4 linked regions of the Arabidopsis thaliana genome follow. The protein of the gene in region 1 purifies or fractionates together with the protein of each later gene. This does not show direct contact. Each region holds a gene or a part of one and is shown in the gene's direction. Other genes may lie near its edges.

Region 1 (7,899 bases):
GCAAAATTAGCTGCAAAGGAAAGAGAGTTTATGATGGTCGTGATGATGAATTTTAGGGTTTAATTGATGAGAGTCAATCTTCAAAACAAGGTTGAATCATCATGTATAAAACGTGAAGCTAAACTTATTAGTTTAGGCGATGAAGTTGATATATCTCAAGTCTTTCACTGCAACGGTTTATTGTTATTCATCAGCATCACCAAAGACAAGACTAGGCTAGTGGTTTGGAACCCGTATGATTGGGGACATACCCGTACGATCGAACCCACACATAACTGCCACATATTCAATAGGTATAATATATGTATGCTCTCGGATACAACAAGAGCTAGCAGCTAATCCCACAAAATCTTGAGGTTTGTTACTTACTGGATGAGGGTTATGGATGAGTTCATAATCTACGATTTTAACTCTGATTCATGGAGGGTTCTTGATGTCACTCCAGATTGGACGATAAGTTATATGAACCTTGGCGTGTCTCTCAAGGGAAATGCATACTGGTTTGCTACTGAGAGATATTCCGAAACAGACGATTATTTCTTAGTCTGTTTTGATTTCACAAGAGAGACATTTGGGCCTCTTTTGACTCTTCCGTTTGTGTTTGTTAAATCTGAAGATGTTATGTGTGTATCTAATGTTAGAGAAGAGCAGCTTGCGGTTTTATATCAGCCGTGGGATAAATAAAAGATGGAGATCTGGATTACGTCTACGATTGAGCCCAACGCGGTGTCGTGGAACAGCAAGGTGTTCTTATCAGTGAGTATAAGAAAACTCATTGGCCCTCCGTTTCAGTTTTGTTTGGGGAGTTTCTTCATTGACGAGGAGAAGAAAGTCGCTGTGGTTTTTGATAAAGACTACAAAGATAAGCGCAACATAGCTTACATCATTGGAGACTTTGGAGTCGATGGATCCTTTAAAGAAGGGATCTCGGAGAATCAGCCTACGCAATGTGTTACCCACTTATGTGCTCTTATGTTCCAACTTCCAAGTCTAGTGCAATTTAATTAGTCGACCATCTACTTCTTGCATATTTTTGCTCGTTTTTTTTTCCTACCTAACCATCTAGTTCAAACATTATCTTTTGCTAAAGTTGGGAAGTGTGGTGGAAATGTCTTCTCCTTTTTTTTCTTGTAATGAGTCTTGTACGGTGGTGGTTATATCGATCTACGTCGGTTGTGTTCCCCTCGGTGATCTCGACCTCAGCGTAGGTGGCGATCAATGTTGGAAATGAAAATTCCTCCTCTGGATTATCAGTCTATCTTTTATTGGTATATTGCCATATATGTCTTCATATGGTATTCTGCTATCTTTCAATGAACATCACAAAAATAGTGATGCTTAATGTCTTCATATGATTCCCCTAAAGTTAGTGCTTTTGTGTTTTGTGTGACATATGGGATTGTCATATATATTTCGAATCTTTTTCGTTTGTTACACAATTAATTGCCTTAAAAAATTCAAACTATTAATTAAAAAGAAAAATCAGATAATTAAAATTCAGTGGCAACTATTGTAAATAAGTACCAACTCCAAGATTTATTTCACAAAATGGCTGCAAAATGTATATGTAGATATTTAGCTTAAGGAGGAGTCTAAATTTAACTTTAGAATTTTTTTAGAATATAATGTATATTAGAGTAAAAACATTTAGAATATACATATAAGGATTAAATTATATTGTGTATTATTTTTTACTGCATAAAATTGATTTGTAATTTTGAGAAATATAAGATAAATTTGCAAAAATTAACGAATTGGAAGATTGTTTTGCAAAAAATCCAAATATTTTGATATAAATTATTTGATCTATTGTTACCATATATTTTTGAACCATTTAATCCGTATTTTTCCTTGAAATGTGTTTGATATGGTTTATTTTGCATAAACAACTTGATTTGTGAATTTCATTTTCCTATTTGAAATCTCTTTACTATATAACTAGCCTTGTTGGGCGCGATCCACATATGTATTATATGATACTTTTGCTCATTAGTTAAAAAAAACAAAATGAATAGTTATTAGTCAAAACCCAATGTAGAGATATTGCCGACGTAGTCAACACATATGAATATGATATGATCCTGCAAAAAATTTTAACGACGTTAGAACCTAAAGAACATATGTGTTCTGGAACCACCTTTCTGTCACTTAACTCTGTCATCACCTTTCGAATAAATGATTTAAGGAGTTCTCTAGAAGACTAGAATCTTCCGTAACCTAAAACTCAACCTCATGTAGAAAGACTCACAAATCCAATTCCTCTATTCTCCTGCGAAAAACGGTTTCTTTATATCTCTCACGATTTGATTTCCTCTTCGCTTTTTTTAATTGAATTGAGATTGATGGATGATAATTTTAATTTCAAGATTTTTTTGTTAATCTTGTAATGGAAAATATTAAAAATAATTGCTTCAATATTGCAAAGCTTTGATATTTTAGAAAACAATTTTATTTAATAAAAGTGATATATATATATATATATATGTTATAGTATATTAAAAGTAAATTAGATTTAAAAGAAAGTGAGTGTATAAGAGACAAAACACGAAAAAAAAAATATGATTGAGGATGACAAATGGATTATAATTTCATATATATACATAATGAATTCAAGCTTGTAACTTATGAAAATTTAGGGGGATAATTAATACTCAATTCTAGATTTATTTATTTGCAACGTATCCATCTATACCTAGAGAATTTTTAATAATTTGTAAGCAAAAAATCTTGAAAGACCACAAATGGATTTGAATTTGTTCTGGATTTGTACTGTGATAATCCATTTTGCTTTGCTTGATTAGTTTTTACTTTTTACCATTGGTAATAATTTGGGATCATGTTTAGTTGTTTACTAGATAACCAATTTTGTTGGGCCTGATCCAACAATTTTGCCGATTATAAAGTAAATAAGTGAATAGTTAAGCCCAATATAAATTTACGAGTGACGGATCATCTGTGTTCTCGAACCATCTTTTTAACGAACTCTCTAGAACCCTTTTTCTTTTTCACCCAAAACCCAACCTCGTATAAATCTCACCAATCCATTTCTTCTCTTCTTCTTTGCGTTTTTTGTTTGGAACTGAATCGAAAAAGATGGATGCTAATTTCGAGATGCCTCCAGTCGGTGGAATGAACGACGACGACGACATGGATTTCGGTGACGGCGCCTCGTTTCTTAAAGTCGGTGAAGAGAAAGAGATCCAACAAGGTTTGAAGAAGAAGCTTCTTAAAGAAGGTGAAGGATATGAAACTCCTGAGAATGGCGATGAAGTTGAAGGTAATTAATTAATCGATTCAGATACTAATGCTTTTCGATTTAGGTTTTTTTGAATCGAAGCTTGAGCTTGATTTGTTTCTGCAGTGCATTACACTGGAACTTTGCTTGATGGGACGAAGTTTGATTCGAGTCGTGATAGAGCAACGCCTTTCAAATTCACTCTTGGACAAGGTTTGTGATTCTCATCTCCTAAAGACCTAATAGTTTCCGTATAGTTAGTAATCTGGAGAATTCGGTAGACTAATTTGATAGATATGAACTTGAATTGAGATATAGTTGTTGTTAAGTTCAAAATCGAATTTTTGTTGATGAATGTGTAATGGTTTGTGGTTGTTGGCATTGTGTTTTTGCAGGTCAAGTTATTAAAGGATGGGATATTGGTATTAAGACGATGAAGAAAGGTGAAAACGCTGTTTTCACTATACCTGCGGAGCTAGCATATGGGGAATCTGGTTCCCCGCCAACTATTCCTGCGAATGCTACGCTTCAGTTTGATGTGGAGTTGCTTAAATGGGACAGTGTGAAGGATATATGTAAAGATGGTGGTGTGTTTAAGAAGATTCTTGCTGTTGGAGAGAAGTGGGAGAATCCAAAGGACCTTGATGAAGTTCTTGGTGTGTGTTCACTCTCTTATGGCCTGCTTTAGAGGTTGGTGTGTGTTTGATTTTGCTAACGGTGTTTCCTGTGTATTTGTTAATTCAGTTAAGTTTGAGGCGAAACTTGAGGATGGTACTGTTGTTGGGAAATCTGATGGTGTGGAGTTCACTGTTAAAGATGGTTAGTGCTCTGAATTCTTTTAAGATATGATGGGATATGTTGGATAATGTATTCGCTCTTTGACATTCTTTGTGATCTATGATCATTAATAGGTCATTTCTGCCCTGCACTTACTAAGGCTGTGAAAACTATGAAAAAGGGTGAAAAGGTCCTTCTGACAGTTAAACCACAATGTAAGACGATTTGTCTCAATTGTTTTTTCACTGATCCTGGTATGGTGTGTATATCATCTCTTATTCCAATGTGCTTCTGAATGAGACAGATGGTTTTGGGGAGAAGGGCAAGCCAGCCTCTGCTGGTGAAGGCGCGGTTCCTCCTAATGCGACGCTCGAGATCAATTTGGAGTTAGTTTCGTGGAAAACAGTGTCAGAAGTAACTGATGATAACAAGGTTGTGAAGAAAGTCTTGAAGGAAGGGGATGGATATGAGCGTCCTAACGAGGGGGCAGTTGTGAAAGGTTTGCATTTCGGATTTTAGTACACTCATGTCTTCACCAGATATAACGGTTTCTTACGGGGTTTCATTTGTTTCTTTCTGGCAGTGAAATTGATAGGGAAACTTCAAGATGGTACTGTATTTTTGAAGAAAGGTCATGGTGAGAATGAGGAACCGTTTGAGTTCAAAACAGATGAAGGTAACTACACAGTTCCTAGTATTTTTCTGATAACTTTCCTTTGGATAGTTGGATGTGCTGGATTTTCCATGGCTTACTTAGTCATGGTAACTCATTTACTGGATGCTTAAACAGAGCAAGTTGTCGATGGACTTGATAGAGCTGTCATGAAGATGAAAAAGGGTGAAGTGGCATTGGTGACCATAGACCCTGAGTATGCCTTTGGTTCTAATGAGTCACAACAGGAATTGGCTGTGGTGCCGCCAAACTCAACTGTTACTTATGAGGTTGACCTATTGACTTTCGACAAGGTTAGTGAAGTATTTTGGATGCTTATGCCGCTCACAATTCAGTCAATATGGAAGTATAAGAGTCCAACACTTGTTTGTCATTGGCTTTTTAGGAAAGGGAATCGTGGGACATGAACACTGAGGAGAAGATTGAAGCTGCTAGTAAGAAGAAGGAAGAAGGAAATTCCAAGTTTAAAGGAGGCAAATATTCCCTGGCTTCCAAGAGATATGAGAAGGTATATGATACGAACTACTTATTGCTTTATGAGTTATAAGTCGAACAACATCTTACATGGTTAAGTTTCTTCTCAGGCTGTCAAATTCATTGAATACGACACATCCTTCAGTGAGGAAGAGAAGAAGCAAGCAAAAGCATTGAAGGTGGCATGCAATCTAAACGATGCAGCCTGCAAACTCAAATTGAAAGATTACAAGCAGGCCGAAAAACTATGCACAAAGGTAATAATAATTGGTTGTTAAGACCACAAGTCCTTTATGTCAGTTTTAAAGCCTAGCTGAACAAAACTGATGGAGATGGTGGTTTTGGTATTTAGGTGTTAGAGCTAGAAAGCACCAATGTGAAGGCCTTATACCGGAGAGCGCAAGCGTACATGGAGTTGTCTGATTTAGACTTGGCCGAGTTTGATGTCAAGAAGGCCCTTGAAATCGATCCCAACAACAGGTTTGTCTCTTACTCTTTAACTCTTATTTAATGTTACATTTGGCTTTTGTATCTTTTAATCCACAGCATGATAATGTCTTCTTTATATACTAACAGAAGACTAAATTTGCTATTTTATTTGCTAATGATAGGGAAGTGAAGCTAGAGCAGAAAAGGTTGAAGGAGAAAATGAAGGAATTCAATAAAAAGGAAGCCAAATTTTATGGAAACATGTTTGCGAAACTAAGTGTAAGTATCTCAATGGTTTGATCATATGTTATAAGTAGATGATAGTAGTTAGTGGGAATATGATGATAACCAAATCTTGTATTGGTGGGAACTTGCAGAAGGAATAATCAAAAGATGGAGAGGCAATGAGCACCTGAGGTCTTGAAAACGTTGCAAGAACTCTGCATTTTTCATTTTCTACTCTTTTGGTTTGTTGCAATGTTTTCTAGTTTTTCAACCTGAGCGTTAGTGAGACACTAAGACTTATAAAACAGTGAGAGATTATCCCAATGTGTTGCTTTTTTCGTCTGATTGTTGGTAGAAACTTGGAGCTATTGATAGCAAAAAAAACCTAACTTTCCAGATTAATTTGAGTTCTTAATATGATATCGAGACAAAATAGTTGCTTGTGCCGTTGTGTTGGACCTTTGGTGGACTTATACCACCGGGATGAATCATAAACCACTGATTCGCAATTACGGCTAATTCTACTGGTTTCAACGTGCAGCAAATAATCAATCACAACTAGATCATCTTTAGTGGTACGCGTAGAGTGTATTTCACACTCCAACAAATTTTTAAGAGCTCTACGAATGTGCACAAGGCTTTATTGATTATTGCAACGATGTCGCTTAGTTTACTTAATAATATGTTGAAATCCAAGATATTGAATAGGTAAATATCCCACTGATCAATACCAGCCAGCCCTCCTCATATAGTGAAGTTTTTTGTCATATTTATATGTAAGCTAGACATAGACCAAACGTAGCCAAAACCTCAAGAATTCCACCAAGAGGTAAGGGTGAGCCATCTGAGATCTCATTAGATAGTAGTGTTGATCGCTAACCATCTCGTACATGTCGGATTAGTAGGCTTCTCGTATGAGATTGATACGGGGTCAATCTCATATGACATATCATTGGAAGGTACCTTCCCTTACGAGATCTCGACAAATATCAAAACAACTACAACACTTTTCTTGGTAAAGGTACAACTAGGCCAATACCAGAAGAAGAAAAAAAATAAGCTCACCAAAGTTGCTGAAAATGCCTAGGTAATGAGACATGATTTTAGAAATCACTTGAAACCTTCGCTCATTTTGAATAAAAGTAAAGGGCATAAATGATTGATTGCATCAAATATATTTTTACTTTTCGGACAAGCTTTTACAATGGATTGGATATATTTTCTTGTGAGAAGAATAGAAAAGGGATATTCTATAACTGCTTTATATCTCGTGTCCGTCCACGTCACCACATCTGACGACTGGAATAATCCTCAGGTACCATCGGATATACTTTCCTAAGCACCGGTCTTACCTCAAATATAATGAGATAAAACTTTTTATTAAACCAAATCTTTATCTTCCCATAAATGGTAAAAACAAAACATAGAAAGCTACGAATATTCCAAGCTAAATTCTCTACTTAAGTTTTAGTTATAAATGTGATTCTCTCACCTTTTCACTTTTCACTAAAATTCTCATCAATCACACTATTATAGCTCTCAGCAATCATCACTCAAAAATCTATGGCGATTTTCTCCAGAACCAAACGTGTCACTGATCCACTTGACGACGACGCGAAGGCTCGGATCTTGAGCAGCCACAGTTACATCCTAGACCAAGATTCTCCTCGACTCTGCGAGCTCGTACACGGGTTTCTTGAGGATGGTCCTGAAGAGTCATTCTACGACTCTGACCCCGACCTGTCTGAGACTTCTTCAGCTGAACATTCTGGTGAAGCTAGTGTGGAGATCGTGAGAATGGCGGTGAGCTTCTCCGATTCCGATCCTTACCGGAATCTATTGCTAGCTCACGTTTTGAGAGCCGTGGAGGTATATTCCGGTTTTAGGTCAAGGAACAAAACTGTTTTCCGGGATAAGGTAGCTTCGTTTCTGCGAGAGCTTGGTCACGACGCCGCGGTTTGTGTATCAAAATGGACCTCTTCATCCAAACTCATCGCTGGGAGTTACCATTTCATTGACGTCGTTCACAAGCCGTCAGATAATGATCAGAAGGCCGTCCGTTACTTGGTTGATCTAGACTTTGCTT
Region 2 (6,741 bases), on another chromosome or scaffold:
AACTCGATCTCCGTGATATCTTTGGATAACGTTTTTGAGTAAATTCTTGTGCTTCCTTCATGATCCCAACCAAACAAAGAATAAAAACTAATATAATATTTTCACTATGCGTGGAGGTTGATCAAGCACGTCAATTCCCAATATGTGTGTTCAGACAACTCGTTAATATGTCAAAGAACGTGAGCCAACCGCTTCATGCCACGTAAGTTTCCAAATGGACCCCCATTTTTAAAACCCAACCCCTTTCGGCAACCTCTTCCTTCATCTCCAACCCCTTTGACAACTCCGATAATTTATTCGGATATCATCTACTTCGCGTATATATTCTGTTACTGTACACCCTCACCTTCTTTATGTTAATTGTTTGACGAATATAAATTAATTTATGTCCATTGCTTATGATTGGCTAAGACATGGTTTGGATTCATGAATCCTTGATAATGATTTGTACGTACGTCGACTACCGTATATTCCATGTCTGATCATGTCTTCAGGTCAACCAAATAGAAACATACCAGAAATAAGTCAATAAATCAAGCGTTCCAAATCTATAGGCACGTTTTTGTTCATTTGTCTTCTCCACGATCGGTGATCCGATCACTTAAGTAAAGAGACGATTTTTTAAATGTTGAGGTTATAAAAACGAAAACGATTGCGTGAAGCTAGAGGGTGTGTGTGATTTTATCTTTGCTGAGTAAAATATTAGCGGACAAGATCAAACCGCAACTTGAGTCTTGGTGGATAAGGATTAAGGAGACAGGGCAAGTGCATTGTTTCTTAAAAACATCCCAAGAACTTCTCCAAGTGTCATTAGGAGTGACATAAAACATTTTCTTCTAATTTCTAAAATGATCCTTTTTCTGATTTATTTGTTCTCTTTTCAAAACGACTAATCATTCCATAAAAGTAAAAAATTTGTAAGGATTAAGTCTAGATTTCAATAGATGTATATATAATTAAAATTGTTAAAATCCAAACCGACCATCGAACATGGTATAATTTGTTCAAAAATCTAATGATAGACTCGAAAGTTTGTGTTGTACATGACATATCCACGTGGGAAATTTTACAAAGATGAGACTTTACAAATCGAAAAGACAAGTGTACAAGAATAGTCCATGTCAGAAACAAAAAAAATTGCAACTTTATTTCACGTTCACATTTTCTGTTTTGCAGTTCCAAAACACGCATATAAATAGCTTCGTGTTGCACAAGTACGACATATGAAAGTTGGCACACATGGAGAAACAGAGCATCAGAAACACTTGTTCTTCTTCTTTAATGTTATCCTCACCATCTTCTTTTTGGGTTCGTGGTGCGTGTATCGGCAGAGGTTGTTTCGGTGCAGTTAGTACGGCGATCAGCAAAACCAACGGTGAAGTTTTCGCCGTGAAATCCGTGGATCTCGCCACGAGTCTCCCCACTCAATCAGAGTCTCTCGAGAACGAAATATCTGTCTTCCGCTCGCTAAAGCCTCACCCTTACATCGTGAAGTTTCTCGGCGACGGAGTCTCGAAAGAAGGAACGACGACGTTTAGGAATCTCTACTTAGAGTATCTCCCAAACGGTGACGTGGCTAGTCACAGAGCCGGAGGAAAAATCGAAGACGAGACTCTGCTCCAGCGTTACACGGCGTGTCTTGTCTCTGCTCTCCGCCACGTACACTCTCAAGGATTCGTTCACTGCGACGTCAAGGCGAGGAACATCCTCGTCAGCCAAAGCTCCATGGTCAAGTTAGCCGATTTTGGGTCGGCGTTCAGAATCCACACACCGAGGGCTCTGATCACGCCACGTGGAAGTCCGCTTTGGATGGCTCCGGAGGTGATCAGACGAGAGTACCAAGGTCCGGAGAGTGACGTCTGGTCTCTCGGCTGCACGATCATCGAGATGTTCACTGGGAAACCCGCTTGGGAAGACCACGGAATTGACTCGCTGAGTCGAATCAGTTTCTCTGACGAGTTACCGGTTTTCCCCTCGAAGTTGTCGGAAATCGGCCGTGATTTCCTAGAAAAGTGTCTGAAGCGAGACCCGAATCAGAGGTGGAGTTGCGATCAGCTTTTGCAGCATCCATTTCTCTCTCAGTGTCACAACTCATCTCCGACTGAGTCATCTCCGCGTTGCGTACTTGACTGGGTCAACTCGGGGTTTGACTTAGAAGAAGAAGAAGAGGAAGTAGGGAGATCAGAATTCGAAGACGCGGCGAAGGCAATAATTTGTAATTTGGCGACGACCGGAGGAGTAATTTGGGAGTCAGATGGTTGGGTGGAAGTTAGATGCCACGCTTCGGAAGAGGAAGGGACAACAATGGAATATTCGGGATCCACAAGGGTAGAATCGGAATATAACACATCATCGGATCCAAACGATGACGTGGCTGGTGACTCGGCGATAATTGACGTTTCTATGTCTCAGAATTTACCGCCTGGAAACGGGGGATCGGCGGCGGCGCTGCCATATGAATTTGTGGTGGTTTTACATTTATTAATGGAAATTATGGTTTATACTACATGTATCTTTAGGGAAATTGTTCTCACTATGTATTTGTTGTATCAGTATAATCAAAGCAATAAACTCGAAACGTTGTCTTTTAATCACAGCCTCAAGTTTTGTTTGTTTGCACATGTGATTCGGATCGGACAAAACTATCTTTTACGCGGTGAGATGAGATCGAGTGTCTTAATTACGAGCCATTGCCTTATATTGATAACTCTCGTTTACAGCCAAATAGTTGTATTTTAATGTGAAAAAATATTGCGACAAATGGTTTTGGTTCGTAAGCTGGTGGAAGACTCAAGAGGCCAAAAGAGACTTTGGTTTTATGCTTTAGAAGACTTTTGATTCATCCTAATAAGTATTCGGATTTTGGAGCATTTAAATGAATCATAGAGGGAACCGGACCGGTTGAAGATGGTTGTTTGTTTCGACTAGGCCTGAAGGACCAAGGTTATGCATGTACGATTATGTATCAAACTGAACGAAGTCGTTACATAGAGTTTAGCTCAAGCATATCATCATATTCTTTTTTCGATCTTTAAGATTTTTCTCTAATCTCTATGCTATAAATCATTAAGATTTCTCTAAAAAAGGATTAATTTCCCTTGAGATAAATAGCTTTAAAAATAACCCAGATACAATGGGTTTATATGGGCCATATATATTTTTTGTCATAAGAAATCGGCCCATAGTTAGCTTCAATTCAACGCCGTATAACTATGAGTCGTTCCGATTTCCTGTGTTGCGAAACCCCCAAATTCTCTTCTCTCTATCTCTCTCGCGTACGCCGCACCGTAGCGACCAATTGAATCCACGAGGAAATCTCAGTAAATACTATGGCGACCAACGAACCCGAGCACGAGCACAGAGACGAGGAAGAGGCCGGAGCTAACGAGGATGAGGACACCGGAGCTCAGGTCGCTCCGATCGTTAGGCTTGAGGAGGTTGCCGTCACTACCGGCGAGGAAGACGAAGATGCCGTCCTTGATCTGTAAGTGTTTTTCTTAATTGGTGTTTATAGTTTTTCTGATCTAGGTCAACTGGATCTGATCGAATTTATAAGGTTTAGCTTTTGGTGTGTTTGACTGAATTTTTGTTTGTGAATCTAAAGGAAATCGAAGCTTTATCGATTCGATAAGGATGCGAATCAGTGGAAGGAGAGAGGAGCTGGTACTGTGAAGTTCTTAAAGCATAAGAACACTGGGAAGATTCGTCTCGTTATGAGGCAATCTAAAACTTTGAAGATCTGTGCTAATCACTTCGGTATAATTTCTATTTGGACTACTTTGTGTTGTTTTTGAGTTGCATCTGGATCTGTATTTAGGTTACTGTTTCCTTATCTAGTCTTATGCTTCTGATATTTCTGCAGTTAAATCGGGCATGAGTGTTCAGGAACACGTTGGGAATGAAAAGTCATGTGTGTGGCACGCTCGTGACTTTGCTGATGGTGAACTCAAGGATGAGCTTTTCTGTATCCGATTTGCTTCTATTGAGAGTGAGTATGAAACCGAATTTTGTAATGGCTTGTGTTTTGCCTTATTTAGTCTCAGTTGGTTTGATAGATTCACGGATTAGATTACTGATGGATCTTGACCTTAGCATTGCTATATGGCTACTTTGTTAATTGGAGGTTCTCAAAGCTTCCATCATAGGCATGCGTTATTGGGTTCAGGAAATATCAAAATAAGTACTGTGGCGGTTAGGTTGTGGTATTGCATTGTAAAGAGATAATATTGTTCTTGAGGTGGTCAAGTATGTATTTAGGCTGCAACTAATTTGATATGCCAACATGGTCGACTGTTTCTTTTTTTATTTTGGGTAAATATTATCAGTAGTTTCTGAGCTGTTGATCATATTAACCGGGAAAAGTAGAGATGCTTGTGGGTAATCAAATCTTATTTTCCTTGTCAGATTGCAAAACATTTATGCAAAAGTTCAAGGAAGTTGCTGAGTCTGAAGAAGAGAAAGAAGAGAGCAAAGATGCCGCTGACACTGCTGGCCTTCTTGAGAAATTGACTGTGGAAGAGACAAAAACGGAGGAGAAAACCGAAGCGAAAGCTGTGGAGACGGCAAAGACTGAAGTGAAAGCAGAAGAAAAGAAAGAGAGCGAGGCAGAGAAATCTGGTGAAGCAAAGAAAACAGAAGAAAGTGGTCCCTCAACATAAGAAGCGTCATCATTTAAGTTGCCAAATCCTGGCGAGGTAATTAAGCCTCGAAATGTTTTGATGCATCATGAGTCTACCATTGTCTTGGCACTATCTATCTATACATGTTTTGTCGAGTCATATCAAGTGGTTGGGGGATCGCTTGGGGTCGGGTTTTACTGAATGCTGAGTCGTTATGGGTCTAATAGTTTTTGAGTCTAAAGTGTCGGGTGATATGAGAGATTTGGGTGAAATATTTTTTCATGTTGGTTATCTGAAAGAGTACATTGGTTTCATTGTTTTAAGTTTTCTCATGGATCCTTTTTGGATGGTCTTATTTTGAGGATACAAATGTGTTTGTCCATGGACAAGAATCAGAAGTCTCCATTTTTTTTTTTTCAAAATTTAATGCATGTGATTTTTTAATCTTAAGGTAATTGCCAATTGTTTGACAAAAAAAAGGTAATTGCCAATCTACTTTGCTCTCTTGTGTTAGTCGATGCTAGTCTTGACCCTGATAAAGATCCAAAATGTATATTAACAGTATTCATAAAATTCTTCAGTTATAACGAACTGTTCACGGAAAAAAAATGACATTGTACTATACTGTGCTAAAATTACCAAAGCATGATTTATATAAATCATATCCAGTAAGACCATATGTGAATGAATAACAATGGATTATGCTTAGGTTAAGATTTTATTAAATTTATAACACTTTTAAAATAAATTTGGAATAATACAAACATATAAACCATTCCTATAACACCATATTTAAACATAACAATGAATTGCTTGGATTTCAAACTTTATTAAATTTGGATTTTAAATTTTAATTTGATTGAATTATACCCCCTTAATTGGATAAATTCAAATATGTCAACTTTTTTTTTTTGTAAGATTTTTTTATGGAAAAAAAAATTGATTATTCACTAAAAAGATGACAGGTTACTTATAATTTAATATATGTAAACCCTAAAAAGAAGAAAATAGTTTCTGTTTTCACTTTAGGTCTTATTATCTAAACTTCTTTAAGAAAATCGCAATAAATTGGTTTGAGTTCTAACTTTAAACACATTAATATTTGTGTGCTATTTAAAAAATAATTTACAAAAAAAAAAACAAATTGACAGAAAATATCAGGTTTTGTAATAAGATATTTCCTGATAAATATTTAGGGAATATAACATATCAAAAGATTCAAATTCTGAAAATCAAGAATGGTAGACATGTGAAAGTTGTCATCAATATGGTCCACTTTTCTTTGCTCTATAACCCAAAATTGACCCTGACAGTCAACTTGTACACGCGGCCAAACCTTTTTATAATCATGCTATTTATTTCCTTCATTTTTATTCTATTTGCTATCTAACTGATTTTTCATTAACATGATACCAGAAATGAATTTAGATGGATTAATTCTTTTCCATCCACGACATCTGGAAACACTTATCTCCTAATTAACCTTACTTTTTTTTTAGTTTGTGTGCTCCTTCATAAAATCTATATTGTTTAAAACAAAGGTCAATAAATATAAATATGGATAAGTATAATAAATCTTTATTGGATATTTCTTTTTTTAAAAAAGAAATAAATCTTTTTTGGATATTTTCGTGGCAGCATCATAATGAGAGACTACGTCGAAACTGCTGGCAACCACTTTTGCCGCGTTTAATTTCTTTCTGAGGCTTATATAAATAGATCAAAGGGGAAAGTGAGATATAATACAGACAAAACAAGAGAAAAGATAAAGAAAATGGGTTTGAGAAGAACATGGTTGGTTTTGTACATTCTCTTCATCTTTCATCTTCAGCACAATCTTCCTTCCGTGAGCTCACGACCTTCCTCAGTCGATACAAACCACGAGACTCTCCCTTTTAGTGTTTCAAAGCCAGACGTTGTTGTGTTTGAAGGAAAGGCTCGGGAATTAGCTGTCGTTATCAAAAAAGGAGGAGGTGGAGGAGGTGGAGGACGCGGAGGCGGTGGAGCACGAAGCGGCGGTAGGAGCAGGGGAGGAGGAGGTGGCAGCAGTAGTAGCCGCAGCCGTGACTGGAAACGCGGCGGAGGGGTGGTTCCGATTCATACGGGTGGTGGTAATGGCAGT
Region 3 (6,491 bases), on another chromosome or scaffold:
GGTTCGATTTCGTCAGAATTTTACTGAGCTAAGTTGTCAAAATGTATTCTTTTGGCAAACCCATTTGAAAGAATTCTACTTTAAGATATTACGACTGCTCAAAATCAGAGATTCTGTGGTTTTAGTGTTTGATTTCTGGTCTTTCACAAATGGATTAGGTTCAATGGTGCTCAGTTTCTGTTGAAAATGAAGGGCAAAACCATAATGTTTGCGGGTGATTCATTGGGGAAGAATCAATGGGAGTCTTTGATCTGCCTTATTGTTTCATCTGCACCGTCCACTCGGACAGAAATGACCAGAGGCTTGCCTCTCTCCACCTTCAGATTCTTGGTAATGCTTTCTTCTTATTCTTCAATGGCTCACATCTTGTTTTTCAGGTTCTTCTATAAGAAAACTGTTTTTTGATGTATAGGATTATGGGATAACAATGTCATTTTACAAAGCTCCGTTCTTGGTGGACATAGATGCTGTTCAAGGCAAGCGTGTGTTGAAGCTGGATGAGATCTCTGGTAATGCCAATGCTTGGCATGACGCTGATCTCCTCATCTTCAACACTGGTCACTGGTGGAGCCACACCGGATCTATGCAAGGGTAAGTTACCACACTTCCAATGACTTGATTTTCTAGTGTGAAAGTTTCTTTATATATCTTCTTGTGAACACAGATGGGACTTGATTCAATCAGGCAATTCTTATTACCAAGACATGGACCGTTTTGTGGCAATGGAGAAAGCACTTCGTACTTGGGCGTATTGGGTCGAAACTCACGTTGATAGATCCCGAACACAAGTCTTGTTCCTCTCCATTTCTCCAACACACGACAAGTAACTCAGCCTCTCTTGTTATATTGGATCATATTTTCTGATGTTTTTGAAATGAATGTCCTGACACCATTTGTATACATTTTGGGATTGATCAGCCCGAGTGACTGGGCGGCATCATCGTCTTCAGGATCCAAGAACTGCTACGGAGAAACAGAACCGATCACAGGAACAGCTTATCCAGTGAGCTCCTACACAGATCAGCTAAGATCAGTGATTGTTGAAGTGCTTCACGGGATGCACAATCCGGCGTTTCTTCTCGACATAACACTCCTCTCTTCCCTAAGAAAAGACGGTCATCCGTCAGTATACAGCGGCCTCATTAGCGGTTCACAAAGGTCTAGACCAGACCAGTCTGCAGATTGTAGCCATTGGTGTTTGCCTGGTTTACCTGATACATGGAACCAGTTGTTGTATACGCTTCTCATCTATTAGCTTCTTTTTAAATCTCTTTCCATCAAATTATTCGGTTAGTAATATTTTAACACATTCGAAGAGAGAATCTTAAGATTAATCACGGAATCAGTCAATTGTATAAACTTTTTGAGGAAATTTTCTTTCAAATGAATTATAATTTTTATTCCATGCAAACAAAGCATAGTAACAAGAAATTTAACAATGGCAAGCCCAAAACAAACAGTATTGGGCTTTTAAAAAAATACATTCGATGGGCTTATTGGAAAAAAGCCTTTTAGGGTTTTCTCAAAACCTCTCTACTATAAATAGAGGAAATCCAACTTTAGAGTTTAAGAAGAAGCAATCCAAAATCAATTCACTGAAAAGCTTCGTTTTTAATCCTGTAGTTTTCATAGGGTTTGGTGTTCTCTCTATTGTTGTTATTGGGCTTGCCTTTTGTCTAGGATTATCATGATTTATGTTTATTGAAAGATTGGCTTCATCAGATAGTCTATGTGGATTTGTTCGTTCCCATATGATTCGTTCCCTTGAAGCAAAATCAATCGTGTTGCTTTCGTTATTTATATAATTCTCCCTATGAATCTTCGGTGATTTCGTATTTATACGATTTTTGCTGATGTTGATTTGGGAGAATCACAACTGAGCAGCTATATATTATTCGTATTGAAATCTAGATTTGGGTTTTTGTATAAGTTTTTGGAAGAACAGTGATGAGTCAGTTTACAGACCTGTAATGATTGCGGTAATGATCGCATTATTATGAACATCTAAGGGACTGAGTTCTTCTTTCTAATATGATTTAACAACTTCAATTTGTTTTTGTTGGTTAATGTTTTTTTGTTTAATCTGATAAAGAGGCTGATGAAGATTAGATATTAATGGTTACTGAAATTTCAATAAGTGTGTTGATATACTATCTTCTTGACTAGGACTGCTGAGGCTAATCTTTGAATTCTAAGGAATTATGTTTTCTCTTTTTGATTTAATGAAATTAGATTGTGGATGATGAGAACAAATATGAAAAAACAGTTATCCCTGTCTGAGGATTTTAATCCCTTTGATGATTCATTTGTAATCTGACACAACCTTCCAGTTCATATCGTTTTGGGTTTTGCTTGTTGACTATTTATTTCAGACCCTAAATTATACAAACACGAAGATTTGTCATTGAAACAACGCAGCTTCATTCAAAAACGGATTTTAAAATTGGAAATCAGACAAATGACTAAGCGGGTCCCTTTTGACTTTAGCATCAATATTCAATATTACCGTGCCAGTAATAAGAGTTCTCGAGTCCATGAAATGATGTTGTATCAGTTTTCGTTCAGCATTTCAATAAATTCACGATGTTTTGGTCAAAATATCTTACTACCTATCGACTGTTATCGGACTTCAGGTTCTACTCTTTGAGTCGTCGACAATGAAAACGTTTCTTTTTCCTACTGTAACGAGAAGGCAAACAAGTGGTATTTTGTTACGATAAAAAACAGGTCAAAAAAAAAATTTGTTAATTGAATGTTTAACACGTTTCCAAAATTTATAAATGTTCATATTCAGCTTACATTGTACTAGCATCGGCAGTAGTTGATTGAATACTAGTGTCGAGTGACATCAGCTTGATATCAAAGCATGATTGATTACATTATATAATATCCATTTGTAAATAATCCACCTCTCAAAAAAAAAAAAATTAATAAATAAATAATCCACCTCCGTTCATATATAAAGATTGTCACGGTGGTCTACCTTAACACTACAAAGGCAGTCCACGACTGAGAAAAAAAAAGCAGTTCAAATTTTTTTCGTATGTGTTAAGGATGGAGTACATTCATAGAGCATCATCTACATTCTACTCCAAGATAAATGTGGAGTATCTGTATTACTTTTAGTTTTGTAAAGAGATTATACATAATTTAAATATGGTACATTACTCATTACAGGTCTTTGAGCTGTGGCGTTCCTTAGCCATGATGTTTCATCCTCTATATTGTCGATACGAGTTCACACTTTCTAGCTTCATCTACATACCAAAATCATGAATTGTCGTATAGGGCCTTAATGGGCTTAAATGACCGAGATAATGACCTGTTAGCCCACTAGAGATAATTCAGAAGCCTAACTTTGGATATAAAGTTTAAAAACCCTGGTTCCAGTTTTTTCTTCTGGTTCTCGAAACTTCTTCTCCCAAATTGAACAACCAAAGAAGTTGCAGAGCACACACACACACTTTCAAGTTTCAATACAGAGATGGCGAGCACTGAGCCAGAGCGTGAGAACCGTGAAGATGAAACCGAAGTCAACGAAGATGAAGACACCGGAGCTCAGGTAGCTCCGATCGTTAGGCTTGAAGAGGTTGCAGTCACCACCGGCGAAGAAGATGAAGACGCCGTCCTCGATCTGTATGTTACTCGTTCCGTTAATATTCTAGTTTCCTTGCCTCTGGTTAAAGTGAGTGTTGGATTTTCGATAGAAGATGAGTGTCGGATTTTTGATAGAAGATGTATTCTTCTGGGTTTATGATTTTGTAGGAAATCGAAGATGTATCGATTCGATAAAGAAGGGAACCAATGGAAGGAGAGAGGAGCTGGAACTGTGAAGTTATTGAAGCATAAGGAAACTGGAAAAGTTCGTCTTGTTATGAGACAATCTAAAACCCTAAAGATCTGTGCCAATCACCTCAGTATGTTTGATTCTCTCTCGAAGAAGATCTTTTTTTTTTTTCTTCGAAAGGGCTAAACTTTATGTATCTTTTGTTGAAATTATGCAGTTTCGTCTGGGATGAGTGTTCAGGAACATAGTGGGAATGAAAAGTCTTGTTTATGGCACGCTACTGATTTCTCCGACGGCGAGTTGAAAGATGAGCTTTTCTGCATTCGATTTGCTTCCATTGAGAGTAAGTTTATACTTGTGAAATTCGTATACTTGTTTTTGATTGAGAGTAACGTGGGTACATTTAGTAGTATTCGATGTTTAATTTATGATAGTTGAATCAGGGAAGATGGTTTGGAAGGTATTCTTTATAAGACTCTAGTTGTGATGATTTAAGTCTCCCATGAATTGTGATTCATCAAGTCCATATAGATAGCTCAAGACTGAAATGGAATACTGCTTTTGTAGTGGCAATACTTATAATGTTGCCTCATTTTATAATTTTAGGGAGACATTGTTGTCTTGAGAATAAACATCTCAGGCCATTTTCCAAGACTCTGTTGGTCTCTGCGGTTGTGGGTCTTATCACTAAACAAATGAACAAAAGGGTTCCATGATCCTTAAGTTGTGCTAAACAACTACCATAATCGTATCTATGTTAAATTAGACGCTGACATAATCTATGAGATTAATATCCTAGGGTCTGCATCTGTCTTTTTGGTTTTAGATTCTCGAGTGGCTAACTGATAGTGTTGCATCAACAGATTGCAAAACATTTATGGAGAAGTTCACTGAAATAGCTGAAAGCCAGCAAGTAGGGAAAGAGAGCACCCAGGGCGACGAGGCTGCTGGTTTAATAGAGAATCTTTCGGTTGAGGAAAATATAAGTGAGGAGAAAGCCAAGGAAGCAGAAGAGAAAGAGCCTGCAAAGGAAGATAAAGAAACAAAAAAGGAGAAGGTAGAAGAAGAGAAGAAAACAGAGGCAAGCACTTAAGTGATCAAATTAAAATTGGTTGTTGGCATCACTAAGTGTGCTTTGCTTTATTTTAATATATTATACTTGGCACTGAACATGATGGTAGCTTCAAAAGTTTGAGTCTTTGCGCTGTGTTAGAGAAAGAGAATCTTAAGATTTTTTTTTATGTTGTTGCTGTGTAAGTGTTTGACTATTGTGTCGTCTCTTTACTGTGTCAATTTGGTTTAAGATAATAGTATTCGGCATCAAATTAGTATCCTTGCTTTCATCTTCAATCATCCGAAATGGATTTGTGGCCAGCAGGTTACACAATCTGTAATTGACATGTTTGGTGTTGCAGCAAAGGGAACAATCATGTGGTGCTTCTAAGAAGTAAAAACTAGTTAGTTAATTTTGGACCCAACAAATTTGTATGGACCCTAAACCTATAATTCGAAAGGCTCCACCACAAATAACACCATGTTTTAAGCACTTCTCTATCTCTCTTTCACCATTTAATTTCCTCTGACCATGAGCTGTTCCTGCATTGAATATCAGATTTTATCTTTTATGCCTCATTTCTAAGTACCCTTGTATGTGTTTTTCTAAACGTTTATCTTCACAATAGCACTAGTAAGTGGATGTATGATAATTGATACTTTGATGTATGTGCCAACTATTTCTTACATACAATTGTACATTGTAGGCTACAATTTGTAGCACAACTATATTATTACTATTTACTAGAAATGGCGAAAAAAACAAACAATACCGAACATCAAAGTCGAAACTAAACTTTTATAATAAATCATATTTTTTAAAAATCATATTTTAGTTAATTATATGCAAGAATACTTATATTTATATGATTATACGATTATATCCAAACCAAAACCAAAATAAAATGTGGTTTTCTAACTCCGACTCATTTCTCAAAAGTGAAAAGAACCCAAAATGCTTAAACCAAACCAAATCAAGGAACTGAACGCATAAAGCTAAGAGTTACAACATGACCAACAAGGAACAAAAGAAAATAGGTCAAAAAGAAGTAAAGAAGGCTAAATGCTTGGAAGTTGGAAAAATAAAGGCCCAAAATAAGGAGTAGTGTTGTGGTGTTGGCAACTGCAATTGCAATCCTTATTTTATGGGAAGAAGAGTCACTTTTGGTCAATAAAGTTCTTATTATAGACTCCAAATCTCTCCCCCCCCCCCCCCCTCACCTATCTACATTTATATCTTTCTTATTATTTCCATGACTGCCATTTTCATGGAAAGTCATTTTCTCGCACCTGTTTGACAAACAATTATTATACCACTCAAGTACAATACCTGCACTTCTATGTGAATAATGCAAAAATATAAGAAAACTCTTAAATGACCCTTAAGCTAATCGAAATTTAGGAAGCATTATTCTTTTATTCTTTAGTACTATAGTCTATAATATTGAGAAGTGAAAAAAATTATCATTTTAGAGAATCATGGGGATTTGTTCCCTCCGTCGCCTTGACGAGTCACTTAGTTTTGAAGATTTACCATCAAAGACCCTCCTCGGCTCCTCGTGGTTAGGTCCTGCGCACATCGAATATATATGTCGCAGGTATAGATGATATGATACTATAATATATGCTTTTTAAGAAAAACGAATAAAAG
Region 4 (10,108 bases), 2.6 Mb from region 1:
ACATCAGGCATAGCCCTCGCTCTAGTCGTAGCAACAAATGAACACATATTCTTGGTAAAAATCATAAGGTTTACCAGTGAGGGAGTAGCAGAAGTACTTCTCGACTCTTTCCCCAAGATCGAATTACGAACGGCAGAGTCTGAATTTGATTCCAGCTGCTTAAGTTTTTCCAGGGCCTCTGCCTCGGAACCCTGTGCTATCCAACATGTAGGTCCAGTAGCACTTAACTAAATGAACAACGCAAGGATCTTTCGAAGCAAGTGAACTTGAAGTAAATAAGATGCACAAGCATAGTTGATAGGGAAAAAGAATAAAGAAAGCAAGAGGAAAAATACCTGTTTTAGAAGAAATGAGCAAAAAGCTTCCTCAAATTTCAGATCAACACCTTCTGATGCTATGAGACATTCGCATATCGTTTTTGCTTTATTAATCTACACAAGCATACTGAATGTTATGCTTTATAAGCAGATAGAGTAGAGAAGAAATGGACCAATCAGTCTAAATTTAACAAAAGGAAAGAAAACGAGATATACCGTTTCATTTTGCTTGCCTGAAAATCCAACAGCGATGTGACCAAGTAACACCATGTAGAAACAATTAAAATCAATAACAACTCTTTGATTGTGGGATTCCAGTGATTTTTTATTTTTCCGTGTAATGGCTAAATCATCCCATGGAAGAAGATCGACAATCTCTGTGGCCAATAACCTGCTAATTGCCTGGCTCAAAAAGCATGGCCAGTCTTGAATTTGACATGAAGCTTCAACACTAAGGCCCTGTCTGAGCAGTTCGCGTAGCGCGGCAATTGCACCTCGCCTCCTCTCTGCATTTTCTGGCGTGCGTGGCAGGCCCAGTAGATCCAATGTGCAAGGTGGTGCAAGCTCCTCTAGTGACTCCTCAATCTATAAATATCAATTTTAACCCCTTAAAACCCAATATGCTGGTAAATTATGCTTTTGGACAATACGTACTTATATGTGAAGCTCCTAAACATGATGCGATTTACAGTAAGGCATGATCATGCACTTTTAATAATTCAAGCCAGTAACAGGGCTAAAAGTAAACTCAGAGAAGCTTTATATATACTAATGCAAGACAGTAGAACCTGTTACCTGAGTTAACAATGCAAGTTTCCCAAGAGTAACTTTACTCTTCAGAAAACTTTGAGCACGAGCAAGAGCTTCAAATCCTTGAGAGACCTTGTTAACCTCGAAAGCAGCCTTGGCAATTGCACACTAAATGGAAAACAAACATATTAGAGATAGAAGAAGCAGAGGATAGTGAAAGTAGATAACTAGTTCCCATTCTTAGTTCATTTGATTTTACCTCAGCAAGTGCCATAGATAAGAATATATCATGAATATATGGCTTTGAATCAAGGTTCCTGAGAGCAGCCCGGCCAATATCCAGCACAAGTTTTTCTTGTCCAACCTGAAGCATAGTAGCAGAAAGATCAGTACAAAACATTTGCAGGGATAAAACGCAATAAAAGGTCAGAAGTAGTACCTCTTGAAGAAGGCATAGAGCACCAGGCAACCATGCCCACGGAATTCTGAGAGGAGATTTAGGAGCAATCTTTTCTTTTAGGTTACCAGCATATTCTGATTCAAAAAGAAGTTTATCCCTAACATCCATGAGAAGATCCTACACATTAAGAACAAAGTATCAAGAAACTGAAGCCACATTCCCTGTCCAACTCTAGTGATACTATAGGTCTTAACCTGGCGAGCTGCAGCAGCTTCCATTGTATAACCCTCTTCAGCATCAGTTTTTTTCAAATTTATAACCGACTTAACGACCTCGTCTTTCTCAGCTTGCTCAGAAACTCCGATAAGCTGCAAAATCAATACAATTAACAGTATCCTGGAATAATGTCTAACAAACGAAACGCTACATTCTTTACACTCTATTGCAGAAATGAACTATGATACAATATTAAATTGCCAAATCAATACATCCATCTCGTTCTACGCGCTAGAGACTACAAATTGGAGGAAAATGTTTCTATTTCAACAAAATTTAGAAGGATAAAAACAAGTTCCACTTGCACTTCAACGAGGAGCTAAGTAGCAAATCGCGAGAGATAGTAGTATCTACAGAGATTCCGAAAAGTAAGTCAGTCGGAGCAAAATACCTGGTAACACGTAACCGGGAGTTCGATTGTAGAGGTAGATGCAGCGAGAGAAGAAGTACGAGACGGCGCATTGTCGACGACATGGATACCACCACCAGCAGCATTCAACCTCCTCCGTCCTTCTCGCTGAAACCGCCGCAAAGATAAACCAGAACCGAAGAATTCACCGGATTCAGAACGAACGACGAGGAGACCTGAGATCTGAAGCTCCGGGCGATCTACGACGAAGCTGGTGCTGCGATTGGAGATTCCGCAAAGCAGACAAGAAGAAGGGAGAACTGGAAATGTGTAAGCTACTGGCATTGCGCAACAGCTCCAGAAAACGAACGAACCCTAGAAGAAGTAGAGTGAAGCTGGAATCATGGTACAATTTGTTGGATTTCTTCAGAGGAGAAAAAATCGGAAATTTGGTCTCAAGGCTTTTGAGTTTTGACAGTGATTTTTGCCTTTTTCTGAAAGTTTCGTCTTGTGACGATAATAAGGTAACCCGCTGGCCGAAAGAGAGGCTCTGCTAATCTAGGACTAGACGAGACGAGACGTGGTCACGTGATCACGCCACGTGGATAATAAAGAAACATCTGGAAGATTATTTTATCCGTCCCTGGACATGGGCCTAGCTCTCGGCCCATAACTAATGTGCGAGAGAAACTACTGCAAGCTCATCGCATGCTACCAGTAGTCTAGTACTGATCAAAGGTTTAATTTGTGTGTAAGAAAAAACTTATATATAATTTAAAATTTGTTTAAATCTGATCAATATGATTTTTTCTGAATCAAATACCTGGAAAGTATATGTCTGGTGTAAACTTTTAACTTGATCAGATTTTGTAATACTTTCACTTAAGTTTAATATCATGAAAAAAGATTTAAGATATTTTGTAGTCATTATATTTTTGGAGGATAGCAAATTGCAACACTCAAACACATTTGGCTATATGAGAACCACGTTTCCTTTCTTGCAAATCAGCACCTCTTTTTTGTCCCGACTTAAAAATTCAGAAAAATAAAATGCCAATTTAGTAAAATAGAGAATATTTTTCACAATAATTTTGTGTGTTGTACAAGAAATGAGGTATTTCATTTTATTTTATTTTACTTTTTTCCTCTACAAGCAAAAACACACAACTACACAAGGATAAAACCTCTTGCCGTTGGGTTTATTTAGCTTCTTTGCAATATCCTTAATTTCGTCTCCGTCAGTAGCAGTCTCCGCCGGGAATATTTTTTTTCCGGTAGCTATGCTCCGAACCGTCTCTTGTTTAGCTTCGCGCAGCTCGTCCTCTCTATTCTTTCGCTTCTTTCGTCAGTTCCCTCGCTCTTACATGTCTCTCACATCGTCGACGGCAGCTCTCCGTGTCCCCAGTCGCAATCTTCGCCGAATTTCCTCTCCCTCAGTCGCCGGTAGACGTCTTTTGCTCCGACGAGGTTTGAGGATTCCCTCCGCCGCAGTTCGCAGTGTCAATGGGCAGTTCTCTCGCCTCTCTGTTCGCGCCGTCGCCACACAACCCGCTCCACTTTATCCTGGTTGGAATTTTTCACATATACTTCTTTTTTTCAATCTGTTTGAAGTTTAATTGCTAATTGATTTGTTCTCTTAATTCGGACATGTTGATTTGTGGCACTTGTGAAATTGTGGTTCTTACTTTAGGATAGGTTGTGAATTGTAGATAGGTGTGGTCCGTGTGGTGCATTTTTCATCTCATGCTTTGTGTCTACTTTGTAATCAAATGGAGCCATGTGTAACCTCTGCTGATGCGTGATTTTCCTTATTTTTGGTTGTTTGGATTCAGATGTAGGTCAAGATGAGGCTGAGAAGCTTGGATTTGAAAAAGTGTCGGAAGAATTCATCTCAGAGTGTAAATCAAAGGCGATACTCTTCAAACACAAGAAAACTGGTTGCGAGGTGATGTCTGTGTCAAATGAGGATGAGAACAAGGTCTTCGGTGTTGTTTTCAGAACTCCTCCGTAAGTTTACTTCATAATAATTTTTACTCTCTGTAAATTTGACCTGAGTATGTATTAGGCAATTGAAATTGGTACCTAAAGCTTCACTCCTTGAATTTAACTAATTGAAATGGTCAAGTTTATCTCTACTCATCAAAGCTTTTTTTTTCTGATTAGACCTAGTCATTTCGTTTCTTCTTCTAATATATTGGTACTTGTAAAGTGGTCTAAGTTTTGGAGGTTACAACTTGTCAAATTACTTAACGCTTTGTTAAAAGTCGATATGAGCAACTGCACTTTCAGTAGATATTGGTCCCACAGGCACCTCCTTGTGAAAGACTTGCAAAAACTAATAATGGAAGCAATTTTAGATCATAGTTTCGTTGTTAATGCAGGAAGGATTCCACTGGCATTCCGCACATACTGGAACATAGCGTTCTATGTGGGTCAAGAAAGTACCCGGTAAAAGAGCCATTTGTTGAACTACTCAAGGGAAGTTTGCATACTTTTCTAAATGCATTCACATATCCTGATAGGACCTGCTACCCAGTTGCTTCCACCAATACAAAGGTACAATGAGCCAAACATTAAGTCCTTCTTTTGTTGTCCTCAGTGGGCTAACCTCTTTCTTTCTGTTATTGTTATCTAAAGTGAGTCTATTTCTGATCACAACTCATCACTATCACTATCTATGGTAGGATTTTTACAATCTTGTCGATGTATATTTGGATGCTGTCTTCTTCCCCAAGTGTGTGGATGACGCTCACACCTTTCAGCAAGAGGGCTGGCACTATGAACTTAATGATCCCTCGGAAGACATATCTTACAAAGGTTTTATTTACCTAGGATTCCATTTTAGAGCTCTTTTCCTCTACTTTTCTTAGTATCGATGATATCTTTTAGTTTATCAGCTACTTCAGATACCCACTCATCCTATCTCATTGTTGATGTTTGATTTCAGGTGTTGTTTTTAATGAGATGAAAGGGGTCTATTCACAGCCTGATAATATTTTAGGGCGAATTGCTCAACAGGCAAGTATTGTGTTTTGCTTACTATAACTAGAAGTTTCTCGTTGTTGGTTTAACCTGATCTTGGGTTTTGACCTTATTAATCAACTAAATGATATAGCCATCATGAAAGAGTCGTTTGGACACTTGGAACAAAAACCTTGTTAGATAATCTGAGACATATTTGAATTTCCTTGATATAGTGGTTCTGATGAAATCAGCTACTACTGTTTTCACTTTTATTAGGCCTTATCCCCAGAAAATACATATGGTGTTGACAGTGGAGGTGATCCAAAAGATATTCCTAATCTGACATTTGAGGAATTCAAGGTTTGTTAGAAGTCAAATTAATATGCTAGTATATTTCTTGTAATGTGTAACTTCTGATGCATACTAAGTATATTTCTTGTTTTGGGACAATTTTAGGAGTTCCACCGTCAATATTATCACCCAAGCAACGCCAGGATCTGGTTCTATGGAGATGATGATCCCGTTCACCGCCTCCGTGTCTTGAGTGGTAAAGATTGATATCTCCTTTGTCTTACTAGAAAGAATCCTCATATTTTTTGTGTTTGTCGTCTATGTCGATTTGAAATACATCTTATCCCTGCGTTTCTTATATGTGCAGAATACTTGGATATGTTTGAAGCAAGTCCATCTCCCAATAGTTCAAAGATTAAATTTCAAAAGCTATTCTCTGAGCCTGTCAGACTGGTTGAGAAATATCCTGCTGGTCGAGATGGTGACCTTAAAAAGAAGCATATGTTGTGCGTTAACTGGCTATTGTCTGAGAAGCCCTTGGACTTGCAAACTCAACTTGCACTTGGCTTCTTGGATCATCTTATGCTGGGGACTCCTGCTTCACCACTAAGAAAGATCTTATTGGAAAGCGGTTTAGGAGAAGCTCTTGTCAGTAGTGGGTTGTCAGACGAACTCTTGCAGCCCCAGTTCGGTATTGGTTTGAAAGGTGTGTCCGAAGAGAATGTTCAAAAGGTTGAAGAGTTGATCATGGATACTCTGAAAAAGTTGGCAGAAGAAGGGTTTGACAATGATGCTGTGGAGGCATCCATGAATACAATTGAGTTTTCTTTGAGGGAAAACAACACAGGATCTTTCCCTCGTGGTTTATCACTTATGCTCCAATCTATTGTAAGTTAATATGCATTTTATGCTTACGTGTATGTCTATTCAGGTATCACTCCTTATTTGATTATTGTTTTTTTTAGTCAAAATGGATATACGATATGGATCCTTTTGAGCCATTAAAGTATACGGAACCATTGAAGGCCCTGAAAACCAGAATAGCTGAGGAGGGATCCAAGGCTGTCTTTTCCCCACTGATAGAGAAGCTTATCTTGAACAACTCGCATCGTGTTACCATAGAGATGCAGGTGATCTTTTACAAGTTTCTCGTTGCTATATAATGTTTCTTTGCTTTTGTGCTAACACTAGTTTTGCCAGCCTGATCCTGAAAAAGCTACTCAAGAGGAAGTGGAAGAGAAAAATATCCTGGAAAAAGTTAAAGCAGCTATGACAGAAGAAGATCTTGCAGAGCTAGCACGTGCTACAGAGGAGCTGAAATTGAAACAAGAAACTCCTGACCCTCCTGAAGCATTGAGATGTGTCCCAAGTTTGAACTTGGGTGACATTCCAAAAGAACCTACTTATGTTCCCACCGAGGTTGCTTTTGTTTTTGTTGTATTTCCTTATTTCCCGAGCTTGCGAAGTTTACTGATATGTTTTAAACAATAGGTTGGAGATATTAATGGTGTGAAGGTTTTGCGGCATGACCTTTTCACCAATGATATTATCTATACTGAAGTAGTCTTTGATATTGGTTCGCTGAAACATGAGCTTCTTCCACTAGTACCACTTTTCTGGTATGATTAAAGATTTCTTATGATTTCTTTATGAGTTTCTTACCAACTTTTTCCAGAAATGTGTATGGTGGGAATGCTAAATGAAGAATGTTGTTAGATTCTCTGCCATGCATTTTCAAAAGCATGGGAATTTTTTTATATTTTAGGGTGTACGTTGACAGCTGTAATAACGAATGTTTTACTTCTGTTCATACTGTATTGATATACTAACTCTGATAATAAATGTATTTTGACAGTCAATCATTACTGGAGATGGGCACAAAAGATTTGACTTTTGTTCAACTTAATCAGTTGATTGGAAGGAAAACGGGAGGGATATCAGTTTATCCCCTTACATCATCAGTGAGGGGTAAGGATGAACCATGCAGCAAAATTATCGTACGCGGAAAATCCATGGCTGGGCGTGCTGACGACCTTTTTAACCTGGTACTTTGTCATTTAAAAATCCCTTGCTTTAGCTTATCGCATTTTTCTCTAATTTTATGTATGTTGGCTTATGGGATATATAGTGCTGCCTACGTGATCACGATCATGTTTTCTTCGGTCTCCATGGCCCTGTAGTTAGTTTGCTAAATGTAGTTTACCAATTTGCTTGTGTTTAGATTTGTGTATGTTAGGTTATGGGATGTGTAGAGCTGTCTACCTGATAGATTTTTCTTTTGCTTGGGTCTCCATGAGATACAGTGCAGCTGTTACTGTGAGTCTGTGACACTGTGTAGATCTTTATTTTTTTCCTGTTTTTCCAAAATACAAAAGCGCTGCCTCTCTCATCTCTTTGCCCTTGTCTCTTTCTTCTCTAAGAAGTACTTGATGTTTTCTCGATGTCTTCGCTATGAGCCTATGACTACTGGATTATGGTAACAGTCACTCTGACTGCAAACCTGTTTTTTTCTGTTAAGATATAATGTAACCTTGATATAGAAACAGTTGTAGCGTATGGTGATTGAAGAACTTTTCAAAATGTTCAGTGTCTTTCATGAATCAGTACCATGATCCAACTAGACATTTATTCAATCCCATATTCGATTTTTTTTCTGTCAAACTTCTAGGTTGGCTCTTATCTTCATTGCTTTTTGTCTTCCTGCAGATGAACTGCTTGTTGCAAGAGGTTCAATTTACAGATCAGCAGAGGTTTAAACAGTTTGTCTCTCAAAGCAGAGCACGGATGGAGGTATGTAGTAGGGGTTTTCTTTTCTGTCTTTGCATGATAAGTGGAACTTGAAAGTAGTAGTATAAACATCACTTCACATTCTATGCAGAACCGATTGAGGGGAAGTGGTCATGGAATTGCTGCGGCGAGGATGGATGCAATGTTGAACATTGCTGGATGGATGTCTGAACAGATGGGTGGTCTCAGGTTGGAATTTGATAATTGTTTATTTAACTTTTAATTTGGCCCTTATTTATATCGTCTTCTCTCTCTGGTCTTGATCTCTGTTGAGAATGAACTTTATTCACATTTTAGAGTTTATCTCTACTATTCTTTTGATACTTGTAGAACCTAACAAAGTTGAGCATCTCTCTTTTGTAGCTATCTTGAATTTTTACATACTCTTGAAAAGAAAGTGGATGAAGACTGGGAAGGAATTTCATCCTCGCTTGAGGAGATCAGAAGATCTCTCCTTGCTAGAAACGGTTGCATAGTTAATATGACTGCTGATGGGAAGTCTCTCACAAATGTCGAAAAATCTGTTGCAAAATTTCTAGATTTACTCCCTGAGAACCCGTCTGGTGGGCTTGTCACTTGGGATGGTCGACTTCCTCTGAGAAATGAAGCCATTGTAATACCAACCCAGGTAAAAAAAAGACGTTTATATAGTAATATAGAATGTGGTTGGGTTTATTATTTTTGATACAGTAACTCGCTCTCATACTCCCTTTGCAGGTAAACTATGTTGGAAAAGCGGGTAACATATACAGCACCGGGTATGAGCTTGATGGCAGTGCGTATGTTATATCAAAGCATATTAGCAATACATGGTTATGGGATCGTGTTCGTGTAAGTGGTGGTGCATATGGAGGTTTCTGTGATTTCGATTCGCATTCAGGTACAATAACTGCTTTCTACTCTCTTGAATATGAAAAGAGTTACGTCAATTAATATATTCTTCTATTGGCCATATCTTTGTTCAGGAGTATTTTCTTACTTATCGTACCGGGATCCAAACTTGTTGAAGACACTTGATATATATGATGGAACTGGAGATTTCTTACGTGGCCTTGATGTGGATCAAGAAACACTCACTAAAGCTATTATTGGCACCATCGGTGATGTTGATTCATACCAATTACCTGATGCCAAAGGTTATAGCAGGTAAATGATGTTATTTTATTTTGTTTCTGTTTGCCTATTTGAACAAACATAACGGATCCTGAATCAAAATTGTTGAATCTCTTTCACCCAGTTTGTTGAGGCATTTACTCGGAGTAACTGACGAAGAACGACAAAGAAAGCGTGAAGAGATACTAACAACAAGGTTGGTTAAATTAAGGACATTCTCTCAATAAATTTTCTTCTGCATCCTAACTAAAAGTGTTAATTAACTTTTGTTGTTCCACAGTTTGAAGGACTTCAAGGATTTCGCACAAGCAATAGATGTGGTTAGAGATAAAGGTGTTGCGGTGGCTGTGGCATCCGCGGAAGACATTGATGCAGCGAACAATGAACGCTCCAACTTTTTCGAGGTGAAGAAAGCTCTCTAAACAGATTGGACAACTTTCAGTAATACTATTTACGATTGAGAATCTCATTAGATTTCTCTTGGTTTCTTTTCTACCGGAGTCAATGTCTTGTCAAAGCTATATTATTGAATGTCCAAACGTTACGAATTTTCACAGTAAATGAAGCATTTTCACAACCAATGTCCAACCTTAAAATAATTTACTCATTTTCTTCCCTTTCCACATTGCTCTTTTTGGTCAGTTTTAATTTTATTAAAAATTGATAAAAGTACATATGCTAAATCGCCAACGGGAAAACAAAAACCCCTGAAAAATTAAGTTGGCGAAAAATGCTGAAATTTCCGAAGACAACAACCCTAGAAAAAAAAATCCAAGTAGTTTCGTAATGACTTATTGCATTGCGACAAGACAAATGTTACGAAAATATATTAGCATGTGTTACTTTCTATTAGATTCTTTC

What was found.
Region 2: the proteins of ROF1 (region 1) and SIRANBP fractionate together in Arabidopsis thaliana (co-fractionation; one large-scale study listed by BioGRID). This does not show direct contact.
Region 3: the proteins of ROF1 (region 1) and RANBP1 fractionate together in Arabidopsis thaliana (co-fractionation; one large-scale study listed by BioGRID). This does not show direct contact.
Region 4: the proteins of ROF1 (region 1) and PREP1 fractionate together in Arabidopsis thaliana (co-fractionation; one large-scale study listed by BioGRID). This does not show direct contact.

What each region holds. Positions count from the first base shown.
Region 1 is NC_003074.8:9,185,164-9,193,062, forward strand, and holds ROF1 (rotamase FKBP 1), read left to right. Parts: upstream 1-3,017; 5' UTR 3,018-3,093; coding exon 3,094-3,277; intron 3,278-3,361; coding exon 3,362-3,448; intron 3,449-3,630; coding exon 3,631-3,891; intron 3,892-3,979; coding exon 3,980-4,054; intron 4,055-4,146; coding exon 4,147-4,227; intron 4,228-4,316; coding exon 4,317-4,511; intron 4,512-4,595; coding exon 4,596-4,688; intron 4,689-4,802; coding exon 4,803-4,978; intron 4,979-5,070; coding exon 5,071-5,193; intron 5,194-5,269; coding exon 5,270-5,416; intron 5,417-5,511; coding exon 5,512-5,639; intron 5,640-5,770; coding exon 5,771-5,865; coding exon of another isoform or gene 5,866-5,867; intron 5,868-5,965; coding exon of another isoform or gene 5,966-5,968; coding exon 5,969-6,012; 3' UTR 6,013-6,256; downstream 6,257-7,899. Other genes in the region: AT3G25240 (sulfate/thiosulfate import ATP-binding protein, putative (DUF506)), read left to right, coding at 7,377-7,899. UniProt on the Arabidopsis thaliana protein: PPIases accelerate the folding of proteins. It catalyzes the cis-trans isomerization of proline imidic peptide bonds in oligopeptides.
Region 2 is NC_003070.9:2,190,277-2,197,017, reverse strand, and holds SIRANBP (Pleckstrin homology (PH) domain superfamily protein), read left to right. Parts: upstream 1-3,181; 5' UTR 3,182-3,329; coding exon 3,330-3,484; intron 3,485-3,604; coding exon 3,605-3,756; intron 3,757-3,862; coding exon 3,863-3,988; intron 3,989-4,404; coding exon 4,405-4,658; 3' UTR 4,659-5,339; downstream 5,340-6,741. Other genes in the region: MAPKKK13 (mitogen-activated protein kinase kinase kinase 13), read left to right, coding at 1,240-2,739; AT1G07135 (glycine-rich protein), read left to right, coding at 6,394-6,741.
Region 3 is NC_003076.8:23,678,708-23,685,198, reverse strand, and holds RANBP1 (RAN binding protein 1), read left to right. Parts: upstream 1-3,263; 5' UTR 3,264-3,484; coding exon 3,485-3,636; intron 3,637-3,765; coding exon 3,766-3,917; intron 3,918-4,004; coding exon 4,005-4,130; intron 4,131-4,650; coding exon 4,651-4,880; 3' UTR 4,881-5,136; downstream 5,137-6,491. Other genes in the region: PMR5 (Pmr5/Cas1p GDSL/SGNH-like acyl-esterase family protein (DUF828)), read left to right, coding at 159-330, 413-591, 665-823, 919-1,255.
Region 4 is NC_003074.8:6,625,139-6,635,246, reverse strand, and holds PREP1 (presequence protease 1), read left to right. Parts: upstream 1-3,082; 5' UTR 3,083-3,372; coding exon 3,373-3,658; intron 3,659-3,924; coding exon 3,925-4,099; intron 4,100-4,473; coding exon 4,474-4,648; intron 4,649-4,776; coding exon 4,777-4,909; intron 4,910-4,989; coding exon of another isoform or gene 4,990-5,027; intron 5,028-5,039; coding exon 5,040-5,110; intron 5,111-5,332; coding exon 5,333-5,416; intron 5,417-5,512; coding exon 5,513-5,603; intron 5,604-5,714; coding exon 5,715-6,235; intron 6,236-6,312; coding exon 6,313-6,477; intron 6,478-6,547; coding exon 6,548-6,766; intron 6,767-6,838; coding exon 6,839-6,966; intron 6,967-7,202; coding exon 7,203-7,392; intron 7,393-8,053; coding exon 8,054-8,137; intron 8,138-8,225; coding exon 8,226-8,323; intron 8,324-8,497; coding exon 8,498-8,762; intron 8,763-8,851; coding exon 8,852-9,014; intron 9,015-9,099; coding exon 9,100-9,280; intron 9,281-9,371; coding exon 9,372-9,443; intron 9,444-9,527; and 3 more. Other genes in the region: PARC6 (plastid division protein), read right to left, coding at 75-191, 336-431, 534-902, 1,113-1,235, 1,327-1,431, 1,507-1,644, 1,722-1,835, 2,135-2,437. UniProt on the Arabidopsis thaliana protein: ATP-independent protease that degrades both mitochondrial and chloroplastic transit peptides after their cleavage. Also degrades other unstructured peptides. Specific for peptides in the range of 10 to 65 residues.